Arabidopsis thaliana: one gene and its partners. The protein of the gene in region 4 interacts with the protein of the main gene of each other region in a pairwise test. Each region holds a gene or a part of one and is shown on either strand. Other genes may lie near its edges.

Region 1 (7,871 bases), about 16 Mb from region 4:
GATATCATGGGCAGGATTGCCAAACGTTATTTGAGCAATACAAGTAGGAGATTCTCCATCATTTATAAACGTGCTCATGATGTAGATTGTTTTTCGCTATGTTTTTCACTCGACACACCAAATCTTCTCTACATCTACTACTCTAGTTATGGTCGGGGTAGGTATCGACATTGTAATTTAGAGTCACTTGTCAAAGCTACACTTGATCATGATTTCTTAGTAGAACATGACAATTGTTGTTGTGCTAATGTTTTAAATTGGTTTTAGATGATTAAAGATGAATTACTCATCTGACATATAGTTTTTAGTTTCTGGTTTTGTTTCTATTGCTAAGTTCCGTGGAAACAAATACTCTAGATTTTACAAATACCCTCCTTGTTGCCGTGTGTCACTTTCGGACTATGTACTCGAAACACTAAGCATCAGGTTGGATATTTCCAAGTTGACTGATCCATTGTGAAGGAGTTACTAATCTCTAAGCCGTTCCTTTAGAAAATTCTTCCCAACCCTTTTCCACTCGAATTCTCATGTGTTTTTCGTAGAAAAAATTATATCCACTTTGTACCATCTGTTCCCAACAAAATTACCGTCAAATCTTTTTCAGGGTCTTCACCATTGCCATTCATGAGAGAAACTGACATGAATTAATCTAGGATGATAACTTTTTTTGGAAAAGATGGTACATAGATGACACATCTTCTACGAAAATGCACTGGAAAGAATGAGTTTGGGAGCACATAGTTTAAAGATTGGTTAATTTTCACGTTGGAGTCAATTTGGAAAAATGTAATTCCTAAGCTCAGTTTTTCTAGTACAATATCCAAAAGTGATACAAAGGCAGCACGAAGAGTATCAAAAGCTAGAGAGAAAGATTATATTTTCACTAAACCTACCAGTTTTCGAAATAAAACCAAGAAACAAAATTAACATCAATGATATGATACGCTTTCTAATAATGGTCTCCTAATGTGTTGTAAGTGGGATATATTGAAAGAATTAAAGTTCATATAAGATACATATGCTCTTGGACATATATATGATGCAGTTTAGACATAGTTTATAATTGAAAGTGAAATACAAGAAATCCTCATTAGATAGTTTATGAAATATATTGAACTTTGTAAAAATAGTAAACAAAAATAAATCTAAATTTTTATTTATTTTGTATTTGAAATAAAACCCAAAAAGAAGATCTTTTCATGAAAGAGAAAAAAAGAAGTAAAATTGGTTGTAAATTTATTTCTGAATAGAAAAAAAAAAGAAATTGTGCCACGCAAAACCTTAATGCTTGAGCTTAATAAAATGAACCTTAATGCTTGAGCTTAATAAAATGAACCTTAATGCTTGAGCTTAATAATTGGGGATTATGTGGTTAATAGTATGGACCAGGAATCTTAGTCAGCAAACACTATATGGATTTTCTAATTATCTTAAATGGAAGTAGTAATTTATTTGTTTTTGTTTTTTAACATAGGAAATTTTGAAATATTTAGGTCCAAATTCGTGGTTTCCAAATATCTACACTTCAGATATCCAAATTTGTGGTTTAATATATATGTATATCCAAACTAAATTTAATTACAAAAAAAAAGTGGAATTTTAATATTTAGTTTGCCATTAAAAGATTTTAGATACAGTATATGGATTTTTGAGAGGCATGGCACTATTATTCGGAATCATAGATCCAATCCGGAATTCTTTCCGATCCGATCCAGAAAACCGGATATCCAAGATAGGTGAATCCAGATCCAGAGAATGAATTTACGGATACGTATAATCCGAATTATAATTTGATTTTAATTTATAATGGTGGGATACATACCTTCATCTTTGTTGCCTCGTTCCAGCTTGCATTTCTCCGTAGTAACATGTTGCAGATGATTCCTTCCTAAAGGTTTTGATTGGTATTTTATATTTCGCGCGGCCCAATTGTCACATACATTTTGATTATATCCGCATAATAAATGTTGTTAGCAAACAAATGAGGATTAATATTGAAAATTGTCCCTAGATCAAAAATTTATTACTGAAATCATACCTTTCTTTGCATATACCACATAAAATGCCAATGAATCAAAATTCATCACAAGAAGCAATCATCACTAGTAGCTGATGTGTATATGTAGACGTCTCTTTAGGGTTTTTACAACAATCTCCATGGAATTTTCGATCAACATGTTTTATTAAATCATATTGATTTTTTATTATTTTATGTTTTAAGGTAAATAAGAAATTGTTTATTTTCTTCTTTGTAAACTATTGTCGGATCATATATTTATGTGATGTAGAAGCCATGTTATCGTGTACAATGCGTGTTAAAACTTAAAATTGTGAAACTTTTGTATGTAATAATGATTGATTGACTAATTGATTTTAAAAGATAGAAAATATATAAATTATGGGTCCACATGGTAATTTTATAAAGAAAAAATCCCGGATTTTTTCTATTTAATCGAGAAATATAGATAATGATATACAAAAATTGGTGATTTTTTGTGAAATGTCAGTTGACTAGAAATTTGAAACAATTCTTATCAATGTATTTTTAAAAATATCATGTTTAATATGTAAGTTTAATATTCATTAGTGTGCATAATGTAAGAATAATTACTAATTTACATAAATATTTTCTCTTATATGTGAAAGTATTTAACTACTGATTTATTGATATACAATGAAAAAGTATGGGCTATTAACTTTATATGATTTCAATAATTTTTATGATTAATATATTTGATAAAAATGATAAATAATAAATCATTATTTTAAAAGAAACATGTATATCCAACAAAAAAAGCCGTGTGTAATACGCGTTGGTTCAAAGGGTAATTTAACTATGGAAAATAGTCCTAGATTTATTTTTGTTAAATTGAGAAATAAAAATCATTATATACCAAAATTGTAAACTTAGCAATTTTTTGGTGCAATTTCCGTTGACTCGATTTTTTGGAAAAAGTCTGTCAATTTCAAAGAAAAAATATTATGTTTAAATACTTAAGTTGAATATTTATTCGTGTGCATAATAATAATTTATTTTTCGTATAAACATTTTTTATTCTATGTGAATGTATGTAACTAGTTGTTTGTTGTTACATGTTAAAAGTATGTACTATTAAGTTTATATGGTTTCAATAAAAAAAATTCAATACTTTTTATGATGAAATTATTTGATAAAATTTAAATAAATGAAAATTGTTTTTTTAACAACAAACCGATCATATTAATGAGAATTTATTTTAAAATAGAAAAGCCGTATGCAATACACGTTATATTTAATAGAAAATTCGTAGTCAAATGATGAATTTAATTAGCAGTTTAATTTTTAAGAAGTTAAAGATTTAGTCAAATGATGAATTTAAATTTATTCGACAACAAAAATTATCAATAAATCAAAAATGTAAAACTGACGATTATTCTATGAAAAGTGAAAACACAACGGAAAATACAAATAATAATGATGAGTTTGGGGTTTTATTTAAAAATAATAATAATAATAATATTGTTTTTGACAATTAGATAAAAAAGGTAAACTTTTTTTTTCTTCTCCTTTGTTTTATTTTAACCCCACAAAACTCGAAAACCTTTTTCCCATTTTCTCACTTTCCCTCTTCTTCTCCTCCCTCAAAGCTTTTCCCTCTCATTTTTCTCTTTCCGCTTTCAAGCTTCTTTTCCCTCTCTCAAAAAATGGGGAAATACATGAAGAAATCAAAGATAACTGGCGATATCAGCGTCATGGAAGTCTCTAAAGCAACAGCTCCAAGTCCAGGTGTTCGAACCAGAGCCGCTAAAACCCTAGCCTTGAAGCGGCTTAATTCCTCCGCCGCTGATTCAGCTCTACCTAACGACTCTTCTTGCTATCTTCAGCTCCGTAGCCGCCGTCTCGAGAAACCCTCTTCGCTGATTGAACCGAAACAGCCGCCGAGAGTTCACAGATCGGGAATTAAAGAGTCTGGTTCCAGGTCTCGCGTTGACTCGGTTAACTCGGTTCCTGTAGCTCAGAGCTCTAATGAAGATGAATGTTTTGACAATTTCGTGAGTGTCCAAGTTTCTTGTGGTGAAAACAGTCTCGGTTTTGAATCAAGACACAGGTTCGTTGTTTTTTTTTTTTTTTTTTTGTGCCCTAATGTTTTCTTATTACCAATTCGACTTTTGTGTTCTGTCTTATCCAATAATCTTAGTTTTGAGTCTTACATAGTTTTGAATCTTAGTTAGGTTTCTCTGAAACTTTTGTTGTTTGCTTCAAATCAATTTTTTTTTTTTTGGGGGATGAAAATAGTTTAGTACAAGAGAAAAATAGGTTTTTTATGTTTCCCTTATTGGTTTGGTTTTTGTTTATGAATTGACTCTCTTGTGATGTACTGAATTTTGTTATTACTACTTCTCCGTATAAGTCTCTTTTGGTGTTAGATTTACATTATATCTGATTTATTGCTGTATGTCCCATGTGTACTTCATTGCAGAGATTATCAATGAATGTGTCAAAGCTATTTTCGTTTTATATATGTATTTCATTATTTGTTACAAATTTGGTGAAACTCTGATCTGTTTTTGTGTATTTTAATTTGTTTAAGAACATGTTGATTCTCCTTGTTATTAGGCTAATGGCATAAGAAGTATTTGTACATTGGGTATACAATATTGGGATTTGGTTATTGGGGGTTTACTTAAACACATGGTTTTCGTTTTTACAAAAGTGGGTTGTTGTATAAAGGTCAGAAACTTTTAATATGTAAGATTATATGAGAATTGGGACTTTCCTCATAAGTGTAATGCAAGTACTGTGGTGTCATGTTCATGGGACCTAGTGGTTTTTGCATACTTGGGGAATACTTTTGTAGGATCCTCTGTTTTTTGGGGTAACCGTCCTGCTGCTAGTTGACAATGTGGTGATTGCCTTCTCTTTGTTATTTATTATCTTATGGGACCATATTACTTAGAAAGTCTCTAGCTTTTGTTGTTTACTTAAACCAAGCCTCTTTTTTATTCTGGATGTTTGGTTTTGGTTTGATTCTTGATTTGGTTAAGTGTCTTTGTGGTGATAATGTTATTGAAGTTATTTTATCTGTGTTTTTTTCTGCAGCACAAGGGAGAGCACGCCTTGTAACTTTGTTGAGGATATGGAGATCATGGTTACACCAGGGTCTAGCACGAGGTCGATGTGCAGAGCAACCAAAGAGTACACAAGGGAACAAGATAACGTGATCCCGACCACTAGTGAAATGGAGGAGTTCTTTGCATATGCAGAGCAGCAGCAACAGAGGCTATTCATGGAGAAGTAAGCTTATTCTTTATTTTATTTTTGTGTCATTACGAAGAGGGTGAACAACACTCATGTGTTTTCAATAATCTTCAGGTACAACTTCGACATTGTGAATGATATCCCCCTCAGCGGACGTTACGAATGGGTGCAAGTCAAACCATGAAGTTCAAAAGGAAACAGCTCCAAAAGACATGGTGTGAAGTTAGAGAATGTGATGGAGTTAACAGACTAACCAAACATCAGAAATCGTGTAATCTTAAGTAATAATGTGGTTAGAGAACAAGTTTGAGAGTAGCTTAGGGACCTTAAAACCTCACACCATTTGTACTACTAATCTTCTTCAGATGCTTAGTGAAATTTTCTCATCTGTTTCTTTCAAGTGTTTGTTTTTCTATCTATCTCTCATGTTTATTCAAAGCTATATGTAATGATGATGATTGAGAGGGATGTGTGTGAACATGTTTAAGCTTGGCATATAGTGAAAAAAATGATTCAGATGCAGAAGAAAGAGACCCAATTGAGAGGTTCACGTGTGAATTTTGGTAGGTGTAAAAATCTGAATCATATCCTTTTTCTTTCAACTATACAAGATTGGTCCCTTTTCTTCTCTTACCATAATTATGACGCACGTGAATGTGTGTGTAAATACTTTGACGTTTACATTGAAATACTGTAATGTAAGTTCAGAGTTAAAAGTACAAACACAAAGGTGAATTTTGTACTAATTAGTAAAGAGATAAGAGTGTTTTGAATCTTGAATATCAAATTATTATTAACAAGAAACTGACAAAAAGATGAGACAGTGTTCATTGAGAAGATCTCTGTTGTTTTATCTTTTTTTTTACATTTCTTGGAAATTGGCAAAACCAGTGTGATGAAACTGTGAAATCTTATCTCGAACCCAATCATTGTTCTATGTTTTTCTTTAATCTCTAAAAGTGAAAAAGTGAATGCATGAAACGTTCAGATACATTCATTATATTATACATTTATACATATGGACATGGTGTACGTATGTACACGGGTGCTTGTTTGATCACGGGCTCACTGACTATAAAAATCATGTTTTTTGGGACATATAGATTCGCTTACATCAACTGTGTGACCAATGGGGTATCTGAATTCAGCTTGTTCGATGTTTTGTTTGACTCTTTTAAACTATTTGGTAGTAAAAAGCCAAAAAGGAAGAGCACTGATTACGAAAGCCTTTTTGTCTTTTTGTTTCTTCTTCTCTAGCTCTCTTTCGTTCTCCTTTTGGGTTAGTCCTTCAAAATAAATGTCTTTAACTTGTCATGTATAGTTTCTTTCTCTCGTTGAACACCAACCATAGGCCTTGCAATGTGAGTCAAAACATGCATTGAAAAAAGAAGTGAATTTCAACATTAAATGCTCTCGTTTAACATGCCTATGGTTCCATTAAGCAAAGTACACACTCTATATATGTCGAAAGAACTATACAGTCGGTGTTTTAGCCCTATAGTTAGATACATTCGAACTGATTACAGAAATATCAAATATCCAGTTCTAAGATCGGATTAAGGCAAATACATTTAAACTACTTCTAGCGAATGAGGTTCACATAGAAAAACTTTTTAAAATGAATCACTAAACAAGATTCATTTTCTTTCTAAATAGTGTAAAGACGAGTGATGCATGCAACTGCTCTCCTTTCCGTTGGTCCCTTGTCAAAATATACGACCGTGAATAATTCTTCCCATCATATTTATCTGTCGGAGAGTTCCAACCTCAAAACATTCTCCTTCTCTTATCAATTCTTTCTAAAATCATAAACCAACAAACTGGGCCTATGATCAATTATTCATATTCAATTTAGCCTATAACTAAAACCACACTGCTTTCGTTACACTGGCCTTCCGACAAGTCTCTTTGACTGTTTTTATCTTAAGCGCCATCAAGTTTTAAAGAAGACAACCCCATATCTTTCCTCCCATGAATCATCGTGTCCATATTGCTATAGTTCATGAAAAAACTAAATACTATCGACAACTGAAGAAAAGATCCGGATCTTGTGGACCGAGTGAATGGTTGGGCCCAATTAGAATGGTCTACCCTAACATCTAGCCGTCTACACGATTGATCATACGTCTAAGAGGGCGAAACCACCAAACGTTTGGATTTTATCTAAATTGATGTACATAAAGCTAACATGATTTTAGTATAAACATTATAAGCATCATGGAAATCAATAAGCTAACATGATTTTAGTAGAAACATTATCAGCTAACATGAATTACTAAAAACATTTATTTTATTTTAAGGAAAAACATACAATACTAAGATTTTTTATAACATTTTTTCTTTGTAACATTATAAATTGTTTTAGTTTCTACATTAATTAAATATATAAAATAAATTCATTTAAATAATATAAGAAAACGGAATCTTTGATTAACTGCTGATTATTGGCCACTGATTAATTTCCGACCCCATCAATAGATGAGATCAGACATACACAACTTAAGTAGACCAAAAAAGCGGTTGGTGTAAGATCCCAAACTCACAGATTCCCAAATAATAGTAATACTCTTCCTCTTCTCAACTCTCACCAGTCACCAGCAGATCATCGGAGATGGGCGGAGACGGAAAAGTT
Region 2 (5,255 bases), about 22 Mb from region 4:
TGTAACCATTATTGGGTTGTAATATTTTTAGACTCTTATACTTATCTACTAAAATAAAGAAGACACAACTAGCTAGTTTGTAGCAAACGTAACGATCACGTTAATTAACAGCCTAATAATTGTATTATGGCAACGTCGTGGGTCCATTGTGTATCTTTAAATCATAAACCGTCTCATAACATTGGCCGCCATATATTTAAGAAATAAGAAAAATACAAAACTAGCTTTCTGACTTCTGCTAAAGACAAAAATAGCTAGGTTTAATTAAGAAGAAACTGTGTGATTGTGTCGATCTTGGTAGGTCAATGCTTCATATTTATACTAAATTGCTTGCAAACAGTGAGTTTTATCTTTAGCAGAAGTCAGAAGTCTGTTTGTGACTTCCACGATGCAGAATCACGTACAGTTTGTATAGCTTGGTTCACACATTTCAGGCTAGTTCAAGGTTTGTGGTTTTCTTATCCACTTATTTATTGTATTTGTCCTGAAACAAACAAGCATATATATAACTCTTCTTCGTTCTTTTGAATCTTAAATAAAAGTCATAATAATAGAAAAACATTTCTCATTCATTTGTTTGTGTTGTATATATATAATATTTCTATTATGAAACTGATGGTAAGGTGAACAAAAACAAAATTTTGATTTGGAAAAGTATTATGTTCGTAATAATTGGATCACTGCTTACGTAGTATAATTGAATACAAGTTTGAAAACATTATTTTACTAAAGTATAATCTTTTCAAACTTTAATAGCAATGTTTAAACTGTGTGGTATTAAATATTCATTAGGTCTATGATTGATGATGTAATTACATTAGATTCTAATGTATGTTGGTGGTAAATAGATAAGACTGGCAGGTAAAAAAAAAACAAATTTCATAAACAGTAGAAACATCACCAAAATTGTGTTCATAATAACTGTAAATTGTGTTCATAATAACTGTCTCATTATATATATTTTTCACTTGGCAAATCTCCTATTTACTACGTTTTGAGAAATGATGTTAAGAGAAATGATGATCTAATATAATTAACAAATACTTGAGAGGATGTTTATACAAAAACTACAGAGAATCCAATCCATCCATATGAATAGCAACATTCCACATGCTGCATTACAATCTAACTCTACTCTATAAAGCAAATCGCAACGCTTTCTTCTGCGGCAAACACACAGATTCTAACCCGAGACTGATGATCTCGATTTTACCTTTAGAGGCGTCTGGATTTGTTAGGAGGTGCGTAACCTGACATACCCATTCCGGGATCTTTCCTTCTTAGCTGTTGCTGCTGGTGCGGTTGAGCCATCCCGCGCTGCTGCTGCAGCGGAACACTCGGGTTAAGCCCTGCCTGTGCCGGGAAATTATAAGCCATCATGCCTTGAGATTGCTGCATCCTCTGCATGTTATGTGCAACCATTGGTCTTGGCATCGATCTACTGCCCATTCCATGAGCTCCTGCCATGTTCCCTGCTACGTTTCCTGCTGCTACTGCTTGAGGCGGATTGATGCTTGTCGTGCCTTCGAAATCGGTGTTTGTATCTACTGGACGAGTTGGGTAATTCACATTCTTCTCCATCGGTTGGCTGGCTACAAATGCGTTCCGTCCTGGGAGAGGATCCATTCGGAAATACTCGTGTTCTAGTGCTTGTGAAGCCGTGATCCGCTTTAGAGGATCATATTCCAGCATTTTGGATAACAGATCATACGCAGGACTTTTCTGATTCAGGTGAACCACGTTGTGGAGACCCACACTGTCGTATTTGTGAGCTTGAATGTGTTGAACATCATTTTGCCAGTGTGGAAGGTTAACTAGTGTTGGCCATTTATCCATCGTCGGGTGGCCTAAGATCTTGAATATCTTGTCAAGTTGATCTAACTGGAAAGGGTTTTGAGACGATTTCGCTTCTGCTCCTTGAAACAACGGTTTAAGAGTTAGTAACTCCGCGAATATACACCCAACTGCCCACATATCAACAGCGCTCGTGTAGTGCTTCGAACCAAGAAGCAGCTCTGGTGCTCGGTACCAGATTGTGACCACAACTCCGTTATCCGATAGTGGTTTCAACGGAGCTTGATATATCCTTGCGAGCCCGAAATCAGCTATTTTCACTATTCCGTGCTCTTCTGCATCACCCATAACCAAGATATTCGACGGTTTCAAATCTCTGTGTATAATCCAATTACTGTGAAGATAGTTCAATCCGTTGAGAAGCTGCCAGAGCAAAGACTTAACTGTGTATGTGTTTAACGAATGGCCGACTTTGTCTCTGTGGTGCCTGATGATTTCATAGAGATCGTACTCGGCATAATCAAAGGCAAGATACAGAGACATGTCTGCAAAATTGATGTGGACATTCACAAGCTTCACGACGTTCTCATGGGAAATCTCTCTAAGCAACATGATCTCGCGGATAGCAGTCGGGGAAACTCCATCTCCATCTTTGGACTGCTTAAACTTCTTGATAGCAATAGGTCTTTTAGGCGGAGTCTTGGTTCTAGCCAAGAAAACAAGACCATAAGTGCCTTCACCAATCTTACCAACGAGATTGTACTGTTGCAGCCACTCTGGTTTCTCACTAGTGCTGTTTGAGCTGTTGGATCTACTGGAACTCCCATCTCCCATTGCTTTTTAGTATTATTCTCTACCTCAATGTCCTTACCATGTGAATCGGAAAAGGGGTAGAGTCTAACAAAACAAAACAATCTTGGTTTCCTCTTTGTAGTTCTCCTGAAATTTGAACAAAACTTTGGAAAATCAGCCAAAGGAATCAAACCGTACATGTAATCTATCTAGATTCTAGACTCAATCAAGTGATCCAGAAAACTTACAAGCAAGAAACTTCACAGAAAAAGATCTAGGACTCCTCACAAACCAAATTCCAAAAGGAACGTTTCAAAATTAGCAGACAATAAAATTCACATCCCTCAGAAAACTTCATATGAACAAATTCAGACACAAAGACTCCAAATTATCAGCAATTGACGTCTTATCAAATCTCATATTCAAAATAGAATTCATCTACATCGAGACACGAAAGCTCGAGACTTTACTTCAAAAGATGGAAAAGGGATCAATCAATTCAGCAGAAATTACCAAGCTCCAAAGACCAATAACCAGAGGAAAACCCTACAAATTCAATACCCAGAGCTACGGTGCCCTAACCTAATCAAAGACCAAAAAATTTCGATACCACTTTCAAATTAAAAACTTCGAGGCCTTATACGATCTGTTTTTACATTTCTCAAAAATCGACGATCAGGAAAATAGAAATACGTAAAGGATCTGACCGGATAAGGCGGTCGGATGAATGATGGGAAGAGGAGCTGAGCTTGGAGAACCTCGGAGATGGAGGAGAGTAGACAAAAGCGAGAAAATTCCGGTGAGACGTCACGGAAGGGAGAAGATTGCGTTTTCCAGAAAACGGTGACGTTCCAAGCAGCCGACGCTGAGAATGGAAACTAGATTTGTAATTTTTTTAGCCACTTGCTCCAACTACGCTATTTATTTATTAGTAAATTCATTTATTTTTGTGTTCAAATAAGTAATTTCATTTAAATCATCGATATACATTAGTAGATTGGATATTTCTCATCAAAGATTTAATGATTTATAGATAATTTTATCAAAAGAGAAATAAATTGTGTTTTTTTATATATATGTCAGTTATTAATATTCTTAGAAAGTAGAAAATTGTGAAAAGAGGGAAGAAATTAAAAATATTAACAGTATAGAAAAACAATAAATGTTGGAAAGAAATGAAAAACAGTAAAATTATAAATTTTGTCCAGTTACTACAGTTTTTTTTTTTCCTTTTCACTGTCTAAACAAACACAAATATCAGATTAACAATGACCTTGTCTGAAGATTGTAGCAACTAAAAATAGACCTCAGTGAAACAGGTGTGAAGCAGTCATTCACAAACCAGAATCAAAAGGCTATATTGGTTATAGTATCTCAACAACACCTCGGCTCACGATTTTGCCTTCGTTGAGATCTTGAAATGCTTTTCCTGCATCTTCAAACTTGTATTTACTTGAGACTGCGTTTGTGAGATTGAAAATCCCTGACTCTGCCAATTTCACTACTTTAGGAAGATCCTGTCTTGCTCTTCCTCCATAAGATCCTATAACTTTTATCTTCACAAAAAATTGGAAAAACAGAACAAAAAGAGATTCAATATCATGATCTTAAAAGACAATCTCAGTACCAGAGACTTTCTTCTAACAAGGCCGAGAGAGAGAGAGTAAGAACCCCAAACCTTTCTACGAACAAGTCGATTTATGTCAATTTCTCCAACGGAACCAGCTTGTGAGAGTCCAATCATCACAGCTTTTCCACCATCTTTCACACTTAGTGTGCACTGCATGAAAGTTTGAGGCTTTCCCAAGGCTTCAACAGCAACATCAACACCCATCCCACCGGTTATTTCCTACGAAGAAGAAACAGTTTTTCATATTTATATCAATCAATGGTTCATCTTCACAAATAAGAGGTCTTGAATCAACCATACTCTTATCCTTTCAACAGCATCTTCTTTAGCAGCATTGACAATATGAGTAGCACCAAGTGTCTTGGCCTTCTGTAATTTATCATCCTGAACATCCACAGCAATGATATCCGAGGCTCCAAAAGCCCTTGCGATCTGCAAACAACTGAAGCAACAACTCAAAGATGGTTATGGTCATACAAGAAGCAATAAAACCCAAATCCGGTAAAGAAAAGAAAATGCCACACATTTAACATACCTGGAGCCCACACCACCAATTCCAATAACTGCAATAGAATCTCCAGGACGGATCTCAGCAGCATGAGCCATAGCACCATATGCTGTAAAAACAGCACATCCCAGAATGGCAGATTCAGAGTAGGGCAAAGACTCTGGTAGAGGAGCTAAACCATGAGCTGGTGTAACACAGTACTCAGCCATCCCTCCCATACTATACATATACACTGGTGAATCTGCCAGAAATTAAGAAATGTAATTAGGTAAAACAATCACAGTTCTCCTAATATGCCACCTGATGTTTAAAAAGTCTTCAAATTTACCATCATGTCGCAAAAAGAGACGAGTTTCGCCATCGTAAAGAGTTCCCTTGGCTCTGTTGTAAGCAAAGAAGTCTTCACATAGATCATCATGGCCCTGTATCCAAATTAAAATATCAGCTAAAAAGCTACAGTTCTCAGATTAGAGAATCCGATGAAAGCAATACAATTTCGTTCTCACCTTAGCACAATAAGAACAGGTTCCA
Region 3 (8,076 bases), on a different chromosome or scaffold from region 4:
ACGATGATTCGTGTGAAGGAGGAGGTGAAGAAGCAGCTATGGCTTTCTGCTCCACTCATTGGTGTTAGCCTTCTTCAATACTCTCTCCAAGTCATCTCCGTCATGTTCGTTGGCCATCTTGGCTCTCTTCCTCTCTCTGCCGCCTCTATCGCCACCTCCTTTGCCTCCGTTACCGGCTTCACCTTCCTCGTACGTTTCTTCGTCCCATCTCTCACGATCCAGTCAAAAAAAAAAAAAGAGTGCATTCAATAACATAACCTTAGTTATCCTCTGTTTTGTAACTTTGTTCAAAGTTTGTGTGTATGTGAAACAGTTGGGAACAGCAAGTGCATTGGAGACACTATGTGGCCAAGCTTACGGAGCAAAACTATATGGAAAATTGGGAATTCAAATGCAGAGAGCAATGTTTGTACTTCTTATACTCTCTGTTCCTCTCTCAATCATTTGGGCTAACACAGAACAGATTCTCGTATTGGTCCATCAAGACAAGTCCATTGCAAGTGTTGCTGGCTCCTACGCTAAATACATGATCCCGAGCCTCTTCGCCTACGGACTGCTTCAATGTATCAACAGGTTCTTGCAAGCGCAGAACAATGTGTTCCCTGTCTTTGTCTGCTCTGGTATCACTACATGTCTTCATTTGCTTCTCTGTTGGTTGTTTGTGTTGAAGACTGGTTTAGGATACAGAGGAGCTGCTCTTGCTATTTCGGTCTCTTACTGGTTCAACGTCATTCTCCTCTCGTGTTATGTCAAGTTTTCGCCTTCTTGCTCGCATAGTTGGACCGGGTTTTCGAAAGAGGCTTTTCAAGAACTTTATGATTTCTCTAAAATTGCTTTTCCTTCAGCGGTCATGGTCTGGTAAGTCATCAAACATAAAATGCTGCATTGTTCAGGTTCCAGTATCTGCATTTTAATCAAATTCTGTTTGAAACAGTTTGGAGCTTTGGTCCTTCGAGCTTCTGGTTCTTGCCTCAGGCCTTCTTCCTAACCCGGTTTTAGAAACTTCGGTGCTTTCAATCTGGTAGATTTCGGTTATCTTTGTCTTATGGTACTCAGAGTTTGTGTACTTCTTCTTTATATTTGATCAACCTCATTTCTGCAACTTTTCAGTCTAAATACTTCCCTAACAATCTGGCAGATTTCGGTTGGTCTTGGTGGCGCTGCAAGGTCAGTAACAAAATGTATCCAAGAGCTCATAAAAAGAAAAATCTCATCAAACCAACCTATCTCACTTTGTGTGTTTCTGTTAACTTGCAGCATAAGGGTCTCAAACGAGTTAGGAGCAGGGAATCCACAAGTGGCAAAACTGGCTGTATATGTCATTGTAGGCATAGCAGTAGCCGAGGGAATTGTGGTTGTAACAGTTTTGTTGTCGATTCGGAAGATCTTAGGTCATGCTTTTAGCAGCGACCCGAAAATCATCGCATATGCCGCATCAATGATACCGATTGTTGCATGTGGAAACTTCCTTGATGGCTTACAATGCGTACTCTCAGGTTTTGAATGATAGAAGATTGGCTTTGGTTCCTTGTTTATATATGTCCGGTTCGAATCCTGGTCAAATAGTTTTGATTTATGGTTGCAGGGGTTGCTAGAGGATGTGGATGGCAGAAAATTGGAGCATGTGTGAATCTTGGATCATATTATCTTGTTGGAGTTCCATTAGGATTGTTACTTGGTTTCCATTTCCACATTGGTGGTCGGGTAATAATCTTAAACTCTCCTTCTCATTCTCAAGTTCAAACACAAGACTAGTTTTATAGAAACTTTTATTTTGTGGTATTTTCATATTGTAGGGGCTTTGGCTGGGAATCGTAACAGCATTGTCTGTTCAAGTGTTGTGTCTTTCCTTAGTCACTATATTCACAAACTGGGATAAAGAGGTAAAACCTTTTAACTGATCGGCTCAGTTTTATATGTATAATAACTCTGCCATAATGTGATTCTGTTTCTTGTTTTACATGATTAGGCAAAGAAAGCTACGAACAGAGTCGGATCTTCAGATGACAAAGATGGTGACGTCCAATGATCAATAAACGTCTGAGGAAAAAGCAGTTGCAAATGAGCTTAATGAGTGCTTTATTCTTGTATGCCCATATGAACTTATTGGGAATTTCTAATTGATGTGGCCGTACATTGGTCTTTAGAAAACTTTACCATTGTTACATAGTTATTGAAATTCCTTGGATGTGTTTCCATTCTCATCGAGCATTAGTGTAATGAGATCAAAAATTCATATATGTAATACACCAACGTGTTCGATACTAAAAATTCTGGACTTTAAATTGGAAATGAACGAAGAATGAGTTTGGGATCAGAGCTCTCTTCTAAACATAGGCCAAAAACAGAGATTTTTCTATGAAGGGTGTACATGATGATTAGTTAATCATCTGTGCTTTATATTCTTTATTTTAGACAGAAAGAATGATTCAAACTATTCGTCATCACTAGTTGTGATATGAAAAATTTCAGGAATTACTGAACGGAACCAACCAGTAAGAGAGATCCTATAGGCTATAGGAACCTGAAGAACGACGTCAAGAAGAAGCCTGTTACGCGATATCCTATAGGAACTCGAGATCAAGTTTCCTCTTCAGATGAGATCTATCTGCACTGCAAATCCAAAAATCAAGAATTCATCAAAAGTTTTCATTTTTTAAGCTGACCAAGAACTGACTGTAATAAAACCAATTGTTTTTACCTGGTGATGGTTGGTCGGTTTGGTGGCCGCTCAGCTAAGATGGTGAAATCTAAAGACATTGGTGCTTGTCCATCATGGCTAGCTTGTCTCATGACATCAACACTCTGGTCCTTGAAACCATTACCAGACTTTCCTCGGTCAGGCATCACTCTTCTAAACTTATGTGCTGGTGACAGCACTTTAATGGCTTCAAGTTTACTATCAGATGACTTAGCATCTTGCTTGGAAACTGGTCTTGGGAGCTTTAAAGGGTCAGTAGGTGAAGGTGCAGATGTGAAGTACCTTTAAAAAGAAATCAAGGTTTGAGAACAAAACTAAATAACCTGTTCTTATGCATTATCCATAGGGGAGATTTTTAGGTACCTGTGTTTTAGAGCCTGCTGAATCGATATTCTAGACTTGGGGTCATAGGTGAACATCTTTGACAACAAATCTAAAGCATCCTCACTAACCGTTGGGAGTAAAGAACGTAAAGAAGGAGCAGGGACAAATTGATACTCTACATAATCAGGAAGGCAGATCATGTCAGGCCACTGATCTGCTTTTGGAGTCCCAAAGGCAGCAAAGATTTTGCTTAATTGATCAATATCACTGTTTCCCTGCAATGGAATAAGTAAGTTAGATAAACAAGTAGACAGATGCACTGGATTACTACACAATCAAAATGGAGGTTCACCTGAAGAAATGGTCTGCGTAATAGAAGTTCAGCAAAAATGCAGCCAGCAGCCCAAACATCAACTGCACCATCATATTGTTTTGCACCAAACAAAAGTTCAGGTGCTCTATACCATCTAGCAAACACCTATGAAAATTGCTAAAGGACATCAAGATACGAAAGATAGCAGAACTACTACATAAATAGCATTGTCACAACAAACAAAGCATACCTGGTGGGTAAACTTACGACCTGGGCTACCAAATATACGTGCTAACCCAAAATCTGCAAGTTTCAGCTGTCCATTGGGTCCTATCAACAAGTTGTTTGGCTTCATATCTCTGAAACAAATACGAATGATCATCCATAAGTTTAAATCAAAACAGACCTTATTAGAGATAGAACAAGTTCTGCTTCTAAGTTCCAATGATAGTACCTGTGCAGAACCCATTTGCCATGGCAATATTCAAGACCTTTCAATATCATTTGGAGGTAAGATTTGACATCACCAGGCGAAAGATAGAGATTACGATCTCGGATAACTGCTTCGAGATCAGTCTCCATGAACTCAAACACGATGTGCAAATTCTCCTTGTGAGGAAACGCATCAATCAACTCAATTATATGTGGATGCTTAAGCTCTTTAAGTAATTTGATTTCTCTAAGAGCTGTTACATTCACACCTTCTTTCTCTTTACCAAGTCTTATTTTCTTGATCGCTACAGTTTCTCCATTCTACAAATTGCCACAACAAAACAAATCAGCTTCCTTATACAAACTTAAACAAAAACTACACACTTTAAATCCATTAAGAACATAAAAATGCAAACTTTGACTTCTAAGAACACATATTAGTGTAAAGATCGAAACTTTAGCTGATTTAAAACCTAAGAGCTATCAGATTTAACCAAATTGTTCCCAGGAAGAGACACGTCAAAAGACACACGACAGAATTGGAACCCTAGTTTCGATGGGATCGACAAAAAATATGAAGAATTGAGAGAGGAATCATCTTCACCTTTGTATCAGTAGCTTTGAAGACGACTCCATAAGTACCTTGACCAAGAACCTCTCGCTTTAGATACCTATCAGCAACTTTCTTCGGCTGTTCCATCTCCGGAACTCTCTAATCGGATCACAAGCAATTGATCGAAACTGATCTTAATTAATTTGTTATCGTTAACGTTGAGGTATCTTATGATGCTCTGGAGAAAAAGTAGCCGTTAGAGCAATTACAGAAGGAATCGACATTTTTAGGGGAAAATATTGAAAAGTAAACGAAAAAGGAAAGAGACGCTCTAAAGCTAGAAATAAAACGAAGCTGGAAGCGTCTATCGTAACGACGTCGTTTAAAGGTTTATAAATGAAAAGCAAAATTGTTCCGGTTTACTCAACATTGACTCGTCAATTATTCTTCGGTTTAAAATGTTATAAGTTAGTGGTTAAACAAAAGATGATTGTGAATATTAACATTTTTTTAGCTGTATGAATATTGGAACATTGCCTAAACATACTTAGAAATTAAAAAAAAAATCCAAGAAAATAAAAAGCTGCATCAACAAGTTGCCAAATTAACCTTGCTCATATTTTCCGCAGCATGGACCAGGAGAACACTACCGGATTAACTTCCGTTTCATGAAGCGTGGAATCAAGCCCAAATATAAGGCCCAAATAACTATTCCGAGAAGGTTAGACAAGCAACTGTTAACTTCTGGGCCCATATAATGGGCTCATAAGAAAGAGATGCAGCCCAATCATTAAAGTTTGCACAAATAATTAGGCTGATCAGTCCACTTTTTTTTAGGTGACCAAAGAAAACAAAGTAAGCCTAACATTTGAGTATGAACCAGAAAAATTTAGGATACTTCAGGGTCAAGTATTTTGCTAGTGAACATTTTTCATCATACAAATTTTTATTTAAACAACTCAAAAAAAAACTTACACGATGGATAAAAAAACACACTTAAAAATAAGCCATTGAATTGTGAAAGAGACGAGACTCGTGAGGGTAATAAGACAAGTTCGTTGTAATAAATCTAGCAATAGATTCTGCTCAGACAGAGAAATAATTACCTGCTTTCGTGCCCACATCATCAGACTTATAATCCTGACCGTACATCAACCTATTTCACTATTTCGTGTTGAAATTTCTAGTTGTTAGGGCTAACAAATGATTTAGAATTAGGTCACCAAACGGAAACACTTGTACATTATTTTCTAAAAGAAATAAAGAATGGTCGGCCAAATTCATTTTCAAAGTTACATCTTAAAAATGTAGTGGACTAGTAGTTGGCAGGAACGATAATAATTGTTATTTTTATTATCTTTACCCAAAAAAAAAAAGAGTGAAGCACAAAAGCCGAGAAGGACGCATGTGACGCGTAGGGAATCTAACACAAACAATGTCAGACCCTTCCCATGTCTTTTCAGATGCACCCACCTGTTCCTTTTTTTCTTTTCTTTTTATTCTTCTATCACGAATATCTAAACCACTATAATTACGACTCTCTATCTATCATTTCTTCCAAAACATGACGTGGCCTCTTCTCTCTCTCTCTTTCCTTCTCTCTAAGTATGTTTAGGGTTAATAATTAGGGTTCCTCCTCTCTTTTGTTCTGTCTTTATATCTCCTTCATAGCTCTAATGTAAGAGATTTACCTCTTTTGGTGTTTTTGTTAATCCACGTTCTCATCAAAACTTTCTCATTGTTTTATGAAGAGTTAAAGGTCTTTACAGTTTGCTTATGTCAGATCCATAATATATTTGACAAGATACTTTGTTTTTCGATAGATCTTGATCTGACGATGGAAGTAGAGCTCCTTAAAGTTCAAACATGAGTTGAGCAGGGTAAAGAAAAGCTGCTAAGCTATGGATCCCATAAGCCCTAATCCTTGTAAAGTAAAAAAGGATTTGGTTATATGGATTGCATATCTCAGGAGCTTTAACTTGCCCTTTAATGGCTTTTACTCTTCTTTGGATTGAAGGGAGCTCTACATCTTCTTTCACCTTCTCTATTTTTTATTTTTCTTTATTTCTACTCAACAATTATTTATTCGGATTCATCTTTAATTTTCCGTTATAATTTCTTTTTGGTAAGGATTATTCGCTATAATTTGAGAATTATATGGTTATTATTTTGATTCCGAAGCAATGTTTAGCGTGTTATTTGTTTTTCTTGTAAAAAACTAGGGTTTATGCAACTGCCTCGGGTAGATGAGAAGATCCTTGGTTCTTTGGAGACTTTTAAATTTTGCAATCTTTGCTGCCATATGCACTGACTATCTTTGTATGATTATTCTCATATCTAATCTAACAACTAAATCCTGTTCTACAATCACAGTCCTTTAGTTAATTGCGAAAATAGTTTTCTGTCATATATGTAAAATGATGATCGGATCGGATTTAAAGGACCAAAGATATTCACTAACTTATACGATTCATTTGTCAACTCGAGTACTTGATTCCTGTCTTTACACAATGAAGATTATAAACTTGAAGAACATTAAAAGTTAATAAAAGTTAAGATTAAGATATAAAAATAACACATATCAATAAATTGAATGTCTTTTCGGATCACCTGTAGGAGTTGGCCATATAATTTGAAATCGAACGTAAACTACAGCAAATTTTGTTATTATAGTTTGATTGATAAAGAAATGGTTTTAGGCAGAATAATTGAAACTGAACCCTAGCTAAACAATTTCTTTTAAGGGAGTCATCATGTAAACCAAATTTCACTTAAAAAAATGATGTTTTAAACATATAATTCGACAATTTTTAGTTTACTAAAAAGATTATGATTTTTGTTTGTTTTAAATTTAATATTGTTATACTTCCATAAACAAGTTACATGTGCTACAGTTGTGAGTCTCGAACTTTGAGTCTCCAACCCAAAAGAAATCGAGATACAGTTATGTGCTAGTTTAAAGAGTAAACTTACTCAAAAATATCCGAAAAACACAGGTAAACTGATCCCAAAAACAAAATTCCGAAAACTTAGATCACCATGTCGATCCGGTCCAAAAGTTTTCATAAGAACTATCAACCAGCCTTCGATGTTTCAGACTTTCAGTCTATGGTTTCAGCACAATAAGATAATCTTGTAGACACATAGTATGTCTTCAAACATGAGGTCTCTTGGTGTTGTATGTGTAGAAACTTATTTGGCTGGTCTTGCCTTCGTTGCTAAACTGGGATGTAGACATTTTCATTATTTTGATTGTACTTTCGAAGTTTTCAAAATTGGGCCTCGTTTTTATGACCCTTCATGGAAAAAATAAAGTTGTCAATCTTCCTCTTACGACAGAAGAGGTCTGTTGCAGATCTGGACCAAACCCTGTAAGCAAAATATCCATTAACATAAGGTCAAATCTAGCCCATTAAATAGGCCCAAATAAAGGCCTAATAGTGTAATGTCAACCCTAATCGTTCAATTCTCTCACCATATTTATGTAACGACTGACTGATTTAACTAAGCCTTCTATTGGGCCTTTGGCACACAAATGTTGTAAGAGCTACTTGTGTTCGAATGAATAGTTTTTTTTTTTTTACCAACGTATGTATCGAGCAATTTCTCGTTATGAGAATGATTCAATTATTTTGAATTGTTAATTTGTTAACAATGCCGTAAAAAAAACTGAATCTTAAACCAGAAGAAGAAGTGGAAGAAGTTACTGATTATTTTATTTTACAAATGTCTGATAATATAATACAGATTTCG
Region 4 (9,217 bases):
TTCTCGGGTTCCTGCAACCTTTCAACACATCAGACATGGCTTCTGCTCTATGCAAAATAGACTTCCTTCTATCTTTATCAGGCGGTGCATCTACTGCTTCTCTGTATGTATTTGGCAGCTTCTTCGAGTGAGGAAGAGACGACATTAGGCTGGATAGTCTCTTCGCCATATCGCTCATCCCTTTCGATCTCAACCCGTTATCGATCATCTTAAATGTGATGTACTGTGGAATAATCCCTCGTCTCACTGCGTTGTCAAACTCTTCAAAGGCTTCTTCTAACATCTCGAGTCTGCAGAGCAAATGTATAAGCATTGTGGTTGTTAATAAGTCAGGATCGATTCCTCTGTTTTTCATCTCCTTGTTCACTTGCATCGCCAAGCTCAGCTTCCCATCCTCACACAGCATTTTCAAGATCAAATGATACGTTAACCGGTCTGGACTGTGTCCAGCTTCAATCAACTTGAAATATAAGTTCATGCCCTCTTCCGTTTTGTTATGCTTTGAGAAATACTTGAAGAAATGGTTGTATGTAGTCGTGGTAGGATCAACACCTCGTGTCATCATCATCTTGAGTATTTTGCTAGCACCAGGAAGATCTCCAGCCTTGCAGAAATTCTTCACTAGTGAATTATAAGTCACTATAGTAGGACCTGATTCACAAACGAAGAACCTTTCCATCATACCTAGAGCTTCACTTAACCGCCCCGCTTCTCCTAAACCATCGATAATCGGATTAAAGACCATAAAATTAATCTCCATTTCTGCCATCTTCATTTCTTCAAGAACCTCCATAGCAATCTGAACACGACGCATCCTGCAATACCCTTCGATAAGAGTACCGTAAGTAACAACAGTCGGCTTCACATTCATCGCTTTCATCTCTTCCCATAACTTCTCTGCCTGCTTTAGCTTTCTTGAACGAAACCATCCATTCAATAAAATGTTGAAAATCCGAACAGAAGGAACCCAATTCGAATCCATCGTCCCTCCTATTCTCTCCAAATACATTGAAGCTTCTCTAACATGACCTTCTTTACAAAGTGCATCTAACAAAACCTCAAGCAACCTAAGTTCCGTAGCTGATTTACAAACCGGTTCATAACTTCTAGCGAATTCAAAAGCTCGTATAGCTTGTTGCACCATACCTACAAGCAAATTGGAAAAACTATATTAAAGTCAAAAGCTTTATGCTTCTATTACTCTAAGCTAGCTCTTTGTATCAGCAATATTGATGAAGCTACAAGAAATCTGCATACCAGCACGAGCATACCGTCTGATCAAAACGATGAACGTATCTGCAGAAACCAAATTCGATCCTTCATCGCTTCTCACTCGATCAAAAACCAACGACCAAGCAATTTCAAATTCACGAGCTTTACATAGAGAATTGACAACAGAATCGAAAAGTGAAGGAGAAAGTGTAAACCCAGGTTTCATCTCCGCCCATTTGAACACTGAGTGAAGCAACATCGGCGATGAACTTAACCGATCGAACAACGCGTGAACCAACTCAACACTCGGTTCGATTCCGGTTTCATCTAAAGCTGACTCGAGACTCGAACCGGGAACAACATCAGTGTTCTCGAGAAGATTCGATATAGTAGAGAGATCGGTTTTCGAGACGGTGTTTTGTTGCGGTGGAGTACATGTAGAATCGGGTACGGCGGGTGATTGTATCCGTTGGATGAGAGGCTCGACGGGAATGAGCGGGGATGAACGGCGAGATGATGATAACAATCTATGAAGAAAGAAGTTGCGGTGAGGATTAGGGTTTAAGAGGAGGTTGCGGCGGAAGGCGGTGAACAGAGAGTTCATTTTCTGCCGCCGTTTATTAGAATTAAGTGTCCGCCGAGAAAATTAGGACACTCCGATTACGCGCCATTTGGGCTTTTGTTTGTTAACTGAAAATATCGATCAACATGGCCCATTATTTTAAAATGAAGTTACATATAGAATATTTGATATATATCCTCATACAACTTAGAAATTGTCTTTCTAGTCCTTCTCCACACGTATTTAATTTGTTTTTTATAAAGATGTATATACAATTTATCATTTATTTTTTTGGATAATTTACAATTTATTATTTTGCAAGTAAGAATCCGTGTATGCGTGTGATTCGTATATGTCCAAATACATATAATTAATGTTGTTAAATTGGTAGAAACGCCTTTTTGACTAATGTTTGAATTTCTATATGTGAATAAATATCTTTCGAAATAATTGTGAGAATGCAAGGCAATGGATGTGGTTATTTTCTCCCTCCATTTCCTTTTCAAATTTATTTTATCCCTTTAAAGAAATAAACATATAAATATTATTGACCAAATATATTAAATTGATTTTAAGGTAAAATAGTTGGAAAATATGTGTATAATTAGAAAAATGTCAAAAATTTATAATTGATCTGAACTCGAGCACTTGTTGATGTGTATTTGGATCGTATTTTCCAGATACATGAATTTTAAATTAACATCTTTTAATTTGATTAAGTAAATCAACGATTAAAAACGTGAATGATGGTAGATACATTGCGGTGATAATATCGTACAGAATCGTTTAATGTAAATATAATGTCTATTAATGTATTTTCGTTTCCAAATTAGAAATTACTGTAATTTACGTAAGGTAAATATATTTTTTGTTTTCAAAATAATAGTCATTACCATTTTATGTTTGTCGGAAATTTCTCGACCAATAATTTGTCTATCTATCGAAGTAGTGTAGTTCTTAAAAAACAAACAAATTACCATAACATATAAACTTTTTTTTGTTAATTGACAGCTCCAACATATGTGTAGTAATAAAAGACAGTTGCACTATTCCTTGTATAGTAACTTGGACCAAATTATAGAAATCATTCTTACAATTTTTTACCAAAGAAATTGAAGATTTTTCCAAAAAAAGCAAAGAAAGATTTTTTAAATTCCGATTTTTTTTTTTTGTTATATCCAAAAAAATCCGAATTTCAAACAGTACCTTTTTCAGTCAGTCGCTTCCCCCGCTCCTCTCCGCTCTCTCCCCCACCTACACATATTTCAACACTCTCTCTCTCTCTGGAGCGTTCTCTTCTCTCCTTGAGCTTCTCTTACCGCCATTAGAGCTCCTTCACAAACTCATAAACCTATTTGTTGAGCCAGGTATCATCATCACCTCTCGTCTGCTCACAATTTCCTGTTTGATTACCGATTCTCTGAATCGTAGCTTGTTGCTCTGCGTTTTGATCGATCGGAGCTAATAGTAGTTTGGATTTTAGTCTAATCGATCTCTCTAGCGAATGTTTTTTGGTCTTCGATTGAGATGATCGATTCCTCTTTGTTGTTTCCGCTTGTATTTGGTTTCTGCGTATTTGTTCTTCAAGCATGGCTAATCACTGGGAAATTGAAATTGTTGAGATCGTTCTTATCTGTTTGACTGGATTTTATGAAACGTGTGTGTACTCTATGGCTCATTGTTTGTTTAAGTAATCGGTCTTTTAAAGGATTTTTGCTATGAAGAACAATGCTTAATTCGATTTGGAAATGACTAGCTTGAAAATTGGATCTATCGATGCAGATTAATGTGAAGGAAACATAGAAACTAGTTGTGATAAGCTGGGTTGCTTGTTTAAGCTGACATTTACTCAATAGTTAGAATCGTGTGGAATTGAGATCTGTGGCTAAATTTGAGTATGAAGAAATCGTTTTAATTGCCACTATATGCTTGTTTCTTCCTGAAATTTATGCTGCATTTGAACATTGCTTGATCTTTTTGATGGAGGCAAGGATAGACATTTGATTATGAACTGTTGTTGTTCTGCAGGCTTGGCTTAACCACTGGCCTTTTTCCAGACTAAATTATGTATTGCTCTTCTTCGATGCATCCAAATGCAAACAAAGAAAATATCTCTACTTCAGATGTACAGGAGAGTTTTGTACGAATAACGAGATCACGAGCTAAAAAAGCCATGGGAAGAGGAGTATCAATACCTCCAACAAAACCTTCTTTTAAACAGGTACTGAAACATGTTCTTATAGAAAGTCATGAATTTCAAGAGCTGATGCTAAACTCTCTAATTTCCTGCCTCTGGTTTATCAGCAAAAGAGACGTGCAGTACTTAAGGATGTGAGTAATACCTCTGCAGATATTATTTATTCAGAACTTCGAAAGGGAGGCAACATCAAGGTAAAGATTTCAGATGATACGCTTTCATTGTCTTGGTTGGTTTATATCTTATGTTGGTAATATAGCCTTCAAACTTTCCCTTTGGGCTTATTACTGTTGACATCACGTTGCAGGCAAACAGAAAATGTCTAAAAGAGCCTAAAAAAGCAGCAAAGGAAGGTGCTAACAGTGCCATGGATATTCTGGTAGATATGCATACAGAAAAATCAAAATTAGCAGAAGATTTGTCCAAGATCAGGATGGCTGAAGCCCAAGATGTCTCTCTTTCAAACTTTAAAGATGAAGAAATTACTGAGCAACGTAAGAACTACAGTGTTCGTGAAAATAATGATAGTTACCACCTTCTCCTCATTTCCGAGGTCATGTTGATCACTCGCTAACTTTAAATCAAGCATTGGACTCCAGAATGCTGAAATTAGTTATTCCCATTAAATTTGTGTTGTCAAGGGTTGAAACAAGTGAACTCTATACCAACATGAATTTCTCAAACTTACTTAAGGTATGTATCTTATACTGGATTGTGCAGAAGAAGATGGATCAGGTGTCATGGAGTTACTTCAAGTTGTAGATATTGATTCCAACGTCGAAGATCCACAGTGTTGCAGCTTGTATGCTGCTGATATATATGACAACATACATGTTGCAGAGGTATTGAATTACATGATCCAAATATTTGCTTTACATCTTTCCACTGTTAACTTCTTGTAACTAATCTCAATATAACTACTTATATGAAGACTGTTGGAGTTATAACCTCTCTTTTCTTGCAGCTTCAACAACGACCCTTGGCTAATTATATGGAGCTTGTGCAGCGAGATATCGACCCAGACATGAGAAAGATTCTGATTGACTGGCTTGTAGAAGTTAGTTACCTTCAAACTTAGCTCATATATATAAATAACGGCATCATCTTATTATGTTTCTTATTGAATAGGACACTAAACCTTACTATACATAGCTTTCTTACAAAAATTAGAGCAAAAACTGAGAGTACTTTTGAGTAAAATAGTGAAGTGCGTGGTATTTTCAGGTTTCTGACGACTACAAGCTGGTTCCAGATACGCTTTACCTTACAGTGAATCTTATCGACCGGTTTCTGTCCAACAGTTACATTGAAAGGCAAAGACTCCAGCTCCTTGGTGTCTCTTGCATGCTTATAGCTTCGTAAGTCCCTACTTTGTTGTTTGTGTGTGTTTGTCAATTTCAGGTTATAGCAATGAGAACAGCATTTCCATCACTGGGAGAGCGCGAACCTATATATATATGTATACTTGCTAAGTAGAGAAACAAGTAAGGCTTATCTTCCTTATACATTTTTGTTGAACCTTGTAGAAAATATGAAGAGCTTTCCGCACCAGGGGTGGAGGAGTTTTGCTTCATTACGGCCAACACATACACAAGACCAGAAGTAATTAACATTCAAATCACACATCTCTCGGTATCTTTAATGTGTACAGATTCTTGATGAAAATATATAAACTGGAATCTTTGTTTCAGGTGCTGAGCATGGAGATTCAAATTCTAAATTTTGTGCACTTTAGATTATCGGTTCCTACCACCAAAACATTTCTGAGGTAAATACTAAAGGGCAGAACTATGAATCATCATATCTTTCCAACTTTGTTTAAAAATAGTACCACTGAGTTTTCATCTTACCAATGTTTTTTCAGGCGGTTCATTAAAGCAGCTCAAGCTTCGTACAAGGTATGAAACCATGATCCATTTATCATCAACCCTCACTTCTACAGAAACTTGGAATCTGAATGTAGTGCGTTGTTTCTTATAATTATTTTGCAGGTGCCTTTCATTGAACTGGAGTATTTAGCAAACTATCTCGCCGAATTGACACTGGTGGAATATAGTTTCCTAAGGTTCCTGCCATCACTAATTGCTGCTTCAGCTGTTTTCCTAGCCCGATGGACACTCGACCAAACTGACCATCCTTGGGTCAGCTCATGTTTCTTGAATCTTGAAAAAGGTTGTTTTTGTGTTTGCCTCTTTTTTGTGCTGATAAAAAGAATGATGTTTGGTTATAGAACCCTACTCTGCAACACTACACCAGATATGAGGTAGCTGAGCTGAAGAACACAGTTCTCGCCATGGAGGACTTGCAGCTCAACACCAGTGGCTGTACTCTCGCTGCCACCCGTGAGAAATACAACCAACCAAAGGTACATTTCTCTACAAAACACCGTTAAATCAAACTACTGATTGTTGAAGAAAAGTGAATGAATGATTGAACTGGTTTTAATTCTGTATGACTTTGATAGTTTAAGAGCGTGGCAAAGCTGACATCTCCCAAACGAGTCACATCACTATTCTCAAGATGACACCAAGCAACATCGAAAACAGAGCCCAAGTCAGGTGATCAAAATACCTATTTTCAGACATTGGATGTTATGTCGTCTCTTTGCCAGTTTTGTCTGTCTGTAATTCTGTAGCTATTGTGTGGCGCCTTAATTGTAGGCCATTACTTGTCACACCACTTAGCTTTAAATAAATGTTATGGAATTTTTCTAATCGCATTGCTACAACTATTTACTATCCTGCGGGATTTTGTACCTAGGAGCACTTGGAAAACGAATACAAAAGTGTTAATTAATATAAATTTCACTGTTCATGGCTGGATTGTTATGTTGTTTGTTCTGATTTCGCAATGCTATATTCATATGGAAACATTTCCATCTACAATTAACGTCTCCCGTGTAACATTTGGTATCCCCTTTTTACTGATTCCTCCATGCTTGATTTTATTCGTCAAATTAGTCTTCAGGTATACTTCAATGTATGTATTTCCATGGCTTGAAGTTCTTCAATCTTCCACAAATTCAATCAAATCCTAAAATTCGAAGATACGCCAACACTTTTCCTCCTTAAAAACTCTCAACTATACCCACTTCAGTTCCTTAAGTTGAGTTATCACAGCTACAGTTCCTTATATAGTCCTCCACTAAACAAACAAGAAATCCCTAAGTCTGTAGCTCGACTTAAAACCGCTTCAGATACTTTTCTCAAAGTCGACTTACCTATAATTTTCTGTATGGCAATAGCCTCTACCGCCGTGATTGCGCACGAGATTCATTTACAAAGATCAGGACGCCTAAACCGGTAACTTCTCACTATAAAATGGTAAAAACAGTGTTATTGTTTACATGATCACTTATTCTCTTCTTATGCTAGTCATCCTTACTAGTACAACTGTTGCTCCTGAGTTTGTTTAAGCGTGAATTTGTGTTGGATGATTTATTATAAGATTTTTTATGGGTCAATTGTGATGGATGTGAGCTTGTGTGTCGTAACTTAGGGATACCACTACTAATCATCCCTCCTCTGTTTCCTCTTTAAGAGTCTGCAAGCCTTCAACCACAGATCAAGCTAAGACCAGTTGAGCTCTAGCCATACCATACTACGGCTCATCGGTGTTTTGTGTTTTATTTCTTAAAAATGATGGTCTCTTGTTTTTATGTTCTTTCTATTGGACTTTTTAACTATTGGGGTAAATTAATGTCTGTTCTAGTTCAGTGGACACAACTATGTTGTTCGTTTCTTTTAAATGACTGATAAGCTTTCAACATATAAACTCTATGCATATTTGCTTATCCACAATTGTATTGATGAAAAACAAAGAAACAATGAAAGTATCAATGAATCACAAAAAAACAAATGGGTTTAGAATCTTCGCTTACATCCCTCAGACTCTAATCTCCCTAATCTCAGTGAGTTTAGAAGCTTTCCTCACATCCCTCAGATTCTTTTCTCCCTAATCTCAGTCTAATGGCGACTGGATTCACATACAACATTCAACAAACCCACACACATAACTGGTAATCTTATGTTGCTTCTGTTACAAGATTCTCTGCATATATAACATTCCTCTTTCCCAACATTTGATTATCCTTTACTGTCTCACAAGTCATAAAGCTAATATAGAGCATATAGCCTGAACGAAAGTAAGAAGGAGAAGTACACAGGCAGCCACAACAGAAGCAGCTGACCAAGGATTGTGGAAATAATCACGTCTCAGAGTTGCTTTCCACTTGTTCCAAGGCGCATTGCAATGCGCTTGTAGATTCCCATAGACTGTCTTATAGTAAAACCCGCTGTAACTTGTCTCTTTCAATATGCTATTGAACAGCCTCGAAACGTCTTCTGCATTTCCAAATCTGTTCACAATGATCCCGTGGTCAATGAACAACTCAGCATCCATGGGAGATCTTATGAAGCAACTGAGGAACCTCATATAATGAATGAAGTAAGCATCTAAACGATGACATTGCTCAAACAAGATGATGTTTCTGTACAGAGATTCTGTGATGTCGTTGATCTTGATTTTGGGAATCGTGAGGACTCCGTTTGCAAAGCTTATGTCAAGTGCGCAGGTGTTGTTATCTGCGGGCTGGAGCTTAACACCGGCATTTTGAATCTCTTTTGCACTCAGTACAGAGTCCATCATCCTCATGCTTCCTCCAGGAAAACTCAAAACCAAAGGCAGGTGAATAGATCGCAGAAGGTCAACAAAATGACAGATCTTTGAATCAGAAATGCTTCTCGAAAATGAAGGGATGCTCATCCAGAATTTCTTGAAGTGGTTGTGAATGATTCGAGTCAGAGGGGGAAGTTCCCTATGGTAGTCAACATGTAGCAATCCAAACATCCCCTCGACAACAAAATATGGAAGCTGATTTTCAAGTAACATAACGTCATGGTTCACATCGACAATCATCTTTTGCTTCCCATATATCCTATCTAGCATACCTCTATATACATCAAACTGAGACCTCAAAAGAAGTTCTACTAGGAAGCTTGCATCAACGATTAACATCTTCACATATTCATCGCTACTAAGTCTTACATCTTCTGTGTAACAAAAGCGAGCCCTTTCTTCCCATGTCCTTGCAACTCTTACCAGGTCTTCCAAACTTAAGGCTGTTCTAGGAATAAAACTCTGTAGGTACCTAAGTTTATGATCTTCCATGGCTTGAAGTTCTTCTTTACCGTAGTGTAAGGGTCCAATCGACACAACCCGAGGCGAATAAGCATCGGGGTTCAATC

The links.
Region 1: the proteins of CYC3B (region 4) and ICK6 interact in a two-hybrid assay, tested with the Arabidopsis thaliana proteins (one large-scale study listed by BioGRID).
Region 2: the proteins of CYC3B (region 4) and CDKE;1 interact in a protein complementation assay, tested with the Arabidopsis thaliana proteins (one large-scale study listed by BioGRID).
Region 3: the proteins of CYC3B (region 4) and CDKD1;1 interact in a two-hybrid assay, tested with the Arabidopsis thaliana proteins (one large-scale study listed by BioGRID).

What each region holds. Positions count from the first base shown.
Region 1 is NC_003076.8:19,790,160-19,798,030, reverse strand, and holds ICK6 (inhibitor/interactor with cyclin-dependent kinase), read left to right. Parts: upstream 1-3,622; 5' UTR 3,623-3,684; coding exon 3,685-4,115; intron 4,116-4,297; coding exon 4,298-4,324; intron 4,325-5,080; coding exon 5,081-5,275; intron 5,276-5,353; coding exon 5,354-5,423; 3' UTR 5,424-5,761; downstream 5,762-7,871. Other genes in the region: CB5-D (cytochrome B5), read left to right, coding at 7,851-7,871. UniProt on the Arabidopsis thaliana protein: Binds and inhibits CYCD2-1/CDKA-1 complex kinase activity. May target specifically CDKA-1.
Region 2 is NC_003076.8:25,462,430-25,467,684, forward strand, and holds CDKE;1 (cyclin-dependent kinase E;1), read right to left. Parts: upstream 3,494-5,255; 5' UTR 3,294-3,493; intron 2,734-3,293; 5' UTR 2,629-2,733; coding exon 1,216-2,628; 3' UTR 933-1,215; downstream 1-932. Other genes in the region: AT5G63620 (GroES-like zinc-binding alcohol dehydrogenase family protein), read right to left, coding at 3,951-4,135, 4,258-4,435, 4,517-4,658, 4,752-4,965, 5,053-5,146, 5,231-5,255. UniProt on the Arabidopsis thaliana protein: Involved in cell differentiation. Required for the specification of stamen and carpel identities and for the proper termination of stem cells in the floral meristem.
Region 3 is NC_003070.9:27,711,507-27,719,582, reverse strand, and holds CDKD1;1 (cyclin-dependent kinase D1;1), read right to left. Parts: upstream 4,674-8,076; 5' UTR 4,471-4,673; coding exon 4,375-4,470; intron 4,092-4,374; coding exon 3,793-4,091; intron 3,698-3,792; coding exon 3,589-3,697; intron 3,504-3,588; coding exon 3,378-3,503; intron 3,301-3,377; coding exon 3,065-3,300; intron 2,984-3,064; coding exon 2,702-2,983; intron 2,614-2,701; coding exon 2,565-2,613; 3' UTR 2,163-2,564; downstream 1-2,162. Other genes in the region: AT1G73700 (MATE efflux family protein), read left to right, coding at 1-189, 314-858, 935-1,021, 1,111-1,167, 1,258-1,496, 1,586-1,704, 1,797-1,883, 1,970-2,029.
Region 4 is NC_003076.8:3,599,089-3,608,305, reverse strand, and holds CYC3B (mitotic-like cyclin 3B from Arabidopsi), read left to right. Parts: upstream 1-2,955; 5' UTR 2,956-3,141; intron 3,142-3,802; 5' UTR 3,803-3,839; coding exon 3,840-3,995; intron 3,996-4,078; coding exon 4,079-4,165; intron 4,166-4,278; coding exon 4,279-4,465; intron 4,466-4,691; coding exon 4,692-4,813; intron 4,814-4,935; coding exon 4,936-5,028; intron 5,029-5,195; coding exon 5,196-5,329; intron 5,330-5,497; coding exon 5,498-5,573; intron 5,574-5,662; coding exon 5,663-5,739; intron 5,740-5,835; coding exon 5,836-5,869; intron 5,870-5,962; coding exon 5,963-6,112; coding exon of another isoform or gene 6,113-6,201; coding exon 6,202-6,336; intron 6,337-6,435; coding exon 6,436-6,495; 3' UTR 6,496-6,793; downstream 6,794-9,217. Other genes in the region: AT5G11310 (Pentatricopeptide repeat (PPR) superfamily protein), read right to left, coding at 1-1,146, 1,258-1,816; AT5G11290 (transmembrane protein, putative (DUF247)), read right to left, coding at 8,079-9,217.